Kluyveromyces lactis: one gene and its partner. The protein of the gene in region 1 interacts with the protein of each later gene in a biochemical or structural test. Links are inferred from orthologs where the notes say so. Each region holds a gene or a part of one and is shown in the gene's direction. Other genes may lie near its edges.

What was found. The genes of interacting proteins can lie anywhere in the genome.
Region 2: the proteins of ARP2 (region 1) and AIM7 form a complex in vitro, tested with the Saccharomyces cerevisiae proteins (2 studies listed by BioGRID). The link is inferred for Kluyveromyces lactis from reciprocal best matches to the Saccharomyces cerevisiae genes ARP2 and AIM7.

The regions. Positions count from the first base shown.
Region 1 is NC_006039.1:351,272-355,321, reverse strand, and holds ARP2 (actin-related protein 2), read left to right. Parts: upstream 1-2,374; coding exon 2,375-3,550; downstream 3,551-4,050. Other genes in the region: APM4 (Apm4p), read left to right, coding at 1-433; MRX9 (Mrx9p), read left to right, coding at 807-1,937; serine/threonine/tyrosine protein kinase MPS1, read right to left, coding at 3,754-4,050. UniProt on the Saccharomyces cerevisiae protein: Functions as ATP-binding component of the Arp2/3 complex which is involved in regulation of actin polymerization and together with an activating nucleation-promoting factor (NPF) mediates the formation of branched actin networks.
Region 2 is NC_006042.1:1,650,543-1,653,904, reverse strand, and holds AIM7 (Aim7p), read left to right. Parts: upstream 1-2,314; coding exon 2,315-2,758; downstream 2,759-3,362. Other genes in the region: KLLA0_F18084g (uncharacterized protein), read left to right, coding at 1-1,874; RPS13 (40S ribosomal protein uS15), read left to right, coding at 3,276-3,296. UniProt on the Saccharomyces cerevisiae protein: May be involved in mitochondrial organization and biogenesis.

The DNA.
Region 1 (4,050 bases):
AATCGTGAAGAACTCTACACTCAATTACAAGGTAACGTTAAGATCACTTTTCCCATCCAATGTCTCTGCCAAAGATGTAACAGTTAAAATACCTGTGCCCCCAACCACGATTAAATGCGATTTTAACGTCTCTGGAGGAAAATGTAAGTACGATGCCGGAGAAAAATGCATGGTATGGAAATACAACAAATACAAAGGATCTACAGAAAATACTCTGAGCGGTAAGGTGGCAATCCCTGCTACTTCCCACGATCTATCTGATTTGTTAAGATGGTCAAGACCGCCAATATCAATGGGCTTCGAAATTGTAATGTTTAGTAATTCCGGACTTGTGGTGAGACACTTGAAATGTCAAGAACCACAATTGAATTATCAACCGGTGAAATGGATTAAATATATCTCACATTCAGGAGCATACGAGATAAGATATTAGTCCACTGAGTGGGATGACTTGTCCCTATAATGGTGTCTTCATATTAATGTGCAACGAATTGGTTTACAAAAGTTTACCCGGATATGTATATATTATTCATGTTTTTCCTATTTAAACAATGTAGTAATAATATTCCAAAAGTTTAAAGGAACAGAAAGCAGATTATAAGTCATCCTGCGATCTTAGTATGGGGTTTGCGATGATATAGACAATTTGGCCTTTGAAATTCCTATAAAATTCCTTTGTAAATTAAGAAGCTTCATAGATTTCAAGACTATGAAGACATTTTGCATTACCAGAAGTAATCGCTTATTGGTATAAATCTGAGAAAATACAATTCCGCACATCAGACATTGTGATATTCTTCTGTGAGATGCTTCCCCTAAATCGATTTCAATTGTGCGTTAAATCACAGATTGGGCTGCGACCATTTCAATCCTTGACAAAGTTAAAAGCATACAGTCCTGCTAGTCATGGATGTGTCAAGACGGGTCAGTTTGTGAATTTGGTGCCACGGTTCCCACTCCTGGCAGCTTTGAATCCCCGGATGAATCTTTTACATTATAACCAGAATATTTTGGTCTCTCCTGTGAAGATGGCGCTTCGAAATTTCCATTCTACGCCGAGAAACATGGTACTTGGTGGACGGGATCCTTTCAGAAAAAGTCCCTTTAACAATCCCAGATTTATCTTTTCAATCAGCCCTTTTTCCTTTATTCTTTCCACGTTACTGTTCGCTGGATTCATAACAATGATAGTATTTGTTTTGCCTTTCTTACTTGCTTTGCTTTTCCCGATGGTGATATTTGGAATAGGGTGGTATCAATTCAAAGCTTTTAGAACCAGGAAACTTATGCAGCTTTTGGATCATGCTTTCAATCAAACTAAGATGAAGCTTTCATCCACCACAAGGAGAGAATTGATAATGAAGCAAATGGTCCCAAAATTCAAGTCATTTACCCAGCTAAAGGACTTCAGCGGATTCCCCTTCAAGCTCTCTCAAGCATTTACAGATAAGTTTCAATCGGGAGAATTTCCCAACGCAGACAGATTTCTTTCCTTTGTGAAATCGAGATTAGATGAGAGTTTCTATAAAAACGAACACAACATCAAATCCATAGTTTTAGGAAGTGATACAGCTTATGTTCCAGGACACATGGAGTTAGTAACAAACTCGTACTCTTTTGTTTCCAGCGTCAGAAATAACGAAAACATCCAAGCTTTTTCATTTATGCTATTGAACATGGGTTCTGAGGGAGTCCGTAAACCAGTTGCATTGGTTTACATCGTTACAAAGGCAAACCCAGGGGACGAATTGTTGATGTTCACTGGTGACTACATTGATGATTCTAAGTTATCCCCGATGGTCATCTATGTACGTGCTCTCAGCCCATTTTCGAAATGTTGCTTCATTACAGACGTCGGAGAAACTGGAGCAAATGCACAATATAGTGTAAAACGAAAAAAGGACGGCAGTAAAGAATACACGTACGAAAGTGATTAAAAGAACTAACGCCCTCACCTAGGTACTGACATGACATTATTAAGAATCATCACTTCACAAAATCTATTTAAGTTGACACAAACCGTCACAATTTATACATATTCATCAATGAAATAAAAAAGATCATATAACACATATCCAAGCAAACTATAAGATTCATTTGAACCATATGAAAACATGCTTTACATGTAAATCCAACGATTTAGCGGCTATCTTGTGACGTGCCAATAGCTTTATACCTCCTGGATAAATTCTATATGGACAAACATGATCACATGATTTACGTGAAAAACGACATCAACAACATTGGGAAATAGGAGATGTTCTTAAAGAAAGAGAGGAAATAAAGGTTTATTTCATCAGATTTAATAGTGGAACTGGGGTAATTAAATCAAACGGACATTTGTGAGCATCTTCAACCCATTAATAAAGCGAAAATGGACCCACATACTCCAATTGTTCTTGATCAGGGTACTGGTTTCGTGAAAATTGGCCGTGCTGGTGAGAACTTCCCAGATTACACCTTCCCATCCATCGTAGGTAGACCGATTCTTAGAGCTGAAGAAAGAGGTCATGCTTCTACCCCATTGAAAGATATCATGATTGGTGATGAAGCAAGTGAAGTTCGTTCATATTTACAGATTTCGTACCCAATGGAAAATGGTATCATCAGAAACTGGGCAGATATGGAATTACTATGGGATTATGCTTTCTTTGAGCAGATGAAATTGCCAACTACATCCGGCGGTAAGGTACTACTTACCGAACCACCAATGAACCCCATTAAAAACAGAGAACAAATGTGTGAAGTTATGTTCGAGAAGTATGATTTTGGTGGCACATACGTTGCAATTCAAGCCGTTCTAGCTCTATATGCTCAAGGTTTGTCGTCGGGTGTCGTTGTTGATTCCGGTGATGGTGTTACTCACATTGTTCCTGTTTATGAATCCGTTGTTTTGAATCATTTGACAAGAAGGTTAGACGTTGCTGGGAGAGATGTAACCAGACACTTAATTGACCTTTTGTCTCGCCGCGGTTATGCATTCAACAGAACTGCCGATTTCGAAACTGTTCGTCAAATTAAAGAAAAGCTTTGTTATGTATCTTATGATCTAGACTTGGACACAAAATTAGCAAGAGAGACGACTACTCTAGTGGAATCTTATGAATTACCCGATGGGAGAGTCATCAAGGTTGGACCGGAAAGATTCGAGGCACCAGAGTGTTTATTCCAACCAAGTTTAGTTGATGTCGAACAACCAGGTGTGGGTGAACTTTTATTCAACACAATACAAGCAGCAGATGTGGATATCAGAACATCACTTTATAAAGCTATCGTCTTGTCTGGTGGTTCATCCATGTACCCAGGTTTACCTTCAAGGTTGGAAAAAGAACTAAAACAACTATGGTTTACAAGGGTTCTACGCAATGATCCCACACGTTTGGATAAATTCAAGGTCAGAATTGAGGACCCACCAAGAAGAAAGCATATGGTGTTCATTGGTGGTGCCGTCTTAGCGAACATTATGGCCGATAAAGACCACATGTGGTTATCGAAGCAAGAATGGCATGAAATAGGTCCTGCTGCAATGTCAAAGTTTGGACCAAGATAAATGAATGATTAAAACTCTTATATAATAGTACATTTGTATTACGTAGGTAAACTTATTAATGCACCCATAGGTTCATTTGCTGGCTTCTTATGGGAGCACAGCATTCATATGTTGCTTCTTTATTCAATGCAGGAAAAAAAGCCATAAAGACGGCATGTCAGAAGTGCTTTATCCCAGTACTGCCCTCAGTGCAATAGATTAATCTATAATTTAAATTCAGCTAGTTTGTTCCAAACATCTTCAGATAATTCTTCCACACGCTCATTATTGACATGTTTTTGATCGCAACCATAGTTTACTGCATTTTTTATCAAATCATGTATGAAGAATTTTGTTACGGTGACAGGATTAATTAATGCACCACTTAATAGCTGGTCAATTGTAACACGAGATATGGGATTTCTTTCCAAACATGATCTTATAGTGTCAATAACAGTTCTTGGTATCACTGTACCGAAAGAGTCTTTTTCAGGATAAGGAATCTTAACATCAGGATTCAT
Region 2 (3,362 bases), on another chromosome or scaffold:
AAACTCATAAGGTTCATGAAAATGACCCAGAATTTGTACATACCTCTTTTGCAGAATATGATCTTAGAGCTAGATTTGAAACCACCAACGAGTTTTATTCTTATGTCATCAAAGATCCCTTCTACCATTATTTCCTTGTATCCCAAATCTTAACTGGATCAAAACTCATCAAACTTGATCCAGCAAATTCGTCACTTTGGTTCAGTTGCATATTAGAGGCAAGCAATGCTTTGCAACCGTTATCGGTTGAAGGAATCGTAGATAAGATAAGAAATGAAAGATCTGACAGCCCAACTAAACTCATCGATGATATGCTCAGCCTTTTGCCTCCACAAGATAAGATGAGAACCATCTTATCACATTTCTATACCAATGTTCATGGCCCATATCCAATTTTAGACGTCAATGAGTTTGAACAACTATACCAGATGATTATCGAACAAAGGCAATACTATTACGATTTACAAACTAGTCTGAAGTTCCTTACAACTTTAATGATGGCACTAAGATTAGGTTACCTATCGTTATTCTCGTATTTTACGAAGTTCGAACCTAATCATGCGTCTTTTAAATGGTGTTTACAATATCCGATCGAAGATCAACACCTTAAATGCTTATCGCATTGCATCCATTTCTTAAAGGATAACGAACAGCTTCAAGTACAAACGCTTATCCTGTTCAGGTTGATGCTATTATTAGAAGATCACGATGATATGTATTCGGTTTTCGGATGGAGTGATGGTGAACTTTGTAAGATGATCAATGATATGGGGGTAGCAATCAGAGATGAAGATTCGAACATGTGGATGCTTGTTTGTTGGAACAACCTGCACTATATGCTTTTATGTGGTGCAGTGCATGATCAATTTGACAATTCTGTGTTTTATGATGATGCCCATTTGTTGGATGATTCACAGACTTTGGAAGAAATCATATCTTTAGATGATATAGGGAAACACAATTTAGAGATTAAGCACATTTTGAAAAAAGGTTATCAATTGTTTAAGCTAATCATCAGTAACAGAAATATGGAGCGCACATTGGACGATGAACAGTTTATACAGTTCAAGATCAATGAGAATAATGGACTCAACTTGTTTAAATTGACACAACCTTCGTACGAATTCTCCATTGAGCAGGAACAAGAAATTGAAATTCTACCAGGTGTGCCAATAAATATCTCCATATTCAATGACTTCAATAAATTCAAGTGGGGCTATTTCTTCAAAGTCAAAAAATTATCGAACCAGTCACTATTGTTCTTCCACTTTGAGAGAACACAGTCTCCACTATTCTGGAGTCATTTGTTCTTCACATTGACTGCAGCAGTGGAAATAGCCAAGTCCTTTGTAATGGGTTTGCAAAGTCTAAGGCTAATGAAAACACCTTCGAAGTTCGTCGTTTCCCACGTTATTTGTCTGGTAACTAACAGAACATTGGCTGTATTATTTGGACTAATAATAAGATTTCTGTATTTCAAGCTGAATTGTAGAGATCCAGAGCTAGCAGCACTTGTCAGAGAGATCCTTCTAAAACTGTTCTCCATCTTGAAAGATGTTGTGAATTGTGCCGACATAGACATTTATCGACCAAGAACGGTTGGAATGGCAAGGAATTTAATCGAATTATTCAACCTGGGTAAACTAGAACTTTCTCTTACATCTTACCTCAACTCTTCTAAAGAGGAACTCCAGCAGTATCATAGCAACACTGTGCAAAACTCAAGCTGGTCTGCCCATGTAAAATTATCACCTCCATCAAACCTGAAAACGTACAGTAAAATGATTATGACAATGACTGCTTATAATGCAAAGGAGGTACTCAACGTACTGTCTCTTTACGACAAAGACCCATCATTATTCGATGGTTTCTAATACCCTGTTCTTTAGGTATCAACCTTGGGTGTGCTAGTTGTAAAATGTTACGACTTAACGATACTATTAATAGTTGAAATCAACCGAACCACACATAACTTGTAAATACTGTCACGAGTTCAACCGAATTTCTTTGTATAGAATATAAAAAAGTCTGTCGCCAGGCAGCAGTAATGATAACGTTACCTTTATTGATCTTATTTCTATTTTGAATCACAGCACTATTTTCCAGATTTATATTTTGCATTGAGATCAAAGGGAAATGAAAATCCATAGATAATATAACAAGAAGTAAAAGCCAATCTGTGAATTATGAACAGCAACAGGTGAAAGCGAAACGTAACCCATCCTTTACAAACGTTGAAGTATTCTCGAAATTGAAGAATACAGGGGAAAACAAACAAGCCAACCGATCCAGGTGAATATTGATTCAACGGAACATGTCGACTATATATCATTTTAGTAATGAAACTAAGAATCAAATCAAAAAATTCAGAACAGCGACTGCCAGGTCGGATGACATACAGATCCAATCCATCAAGATTCAACCAAAGCCATCTTACGAGATCATAATCGATGATGACGAAGATTTAGAAGATTTCAACCGGTTGGAAGATTTGGCTGAACTACTGCCTGATAATATGCCGAGATTTGTGCTTCTATCCTATCCAATGACCACAAGAGATGGAAGGAAAAAGACCCCGCTCGTATTGCTGTATTGGAAACCAGCCACTGTGGTATCACAAGAATGGAAGATGCTATATGCAGGTGCTTTGGAAATGGTGAGAGCAGAATGTGCAGTTAATAAGTACATTGAGGTGTCATCCGGACTAGAAGATGAAGACGATATAGAAGAATTGAAACAAGAGATCGAAGCTAAGTAATAACATACTTTTGCATGCCTTCTTTAAGTTGCTACAAATTGGGTAGCATCAATTAGTTAAAGATGTATGCCATATAATTCCGGTATTTCACAACCCATATTCAATCTCCTTATGAGCCAAGGGTTCATTGACAATACTGTGACACCTGTCCTTTCATTGGCGTATCGTTTGTATCGATCTTGAGGTAGCAGCTTGATGGAGGAGAAACATAAGTCACGTGAACAGAGTTCAACCAGGACTGCCAAAATAACACCAGTACACCATCAATATAAATATATTCGCAAGGAAAGAATTTATCATAATGATTTCCAAATAGGGCAATAAAGTATGCAGAATATTTTGAGTATTTTTCAGAACAGCTATCTCGAGAACGTTTGAAACCTTCCATAACTTTAATATAACGATATCAGTGTTATCTTACTTTATAATTGTTCAATTGAATGTTTATATCTAATTTATTGCATTTCAAGTGGTACATCACAGCAACCAATCAACACCGTTAAGAAAATCAGTCAAAATGGGTCGTATGCATTCTAAGGTACGTTAATAAACTACACTTCATTTATTGAAATGAATAAGGACTTAAAATGATGAGAAGCTACTT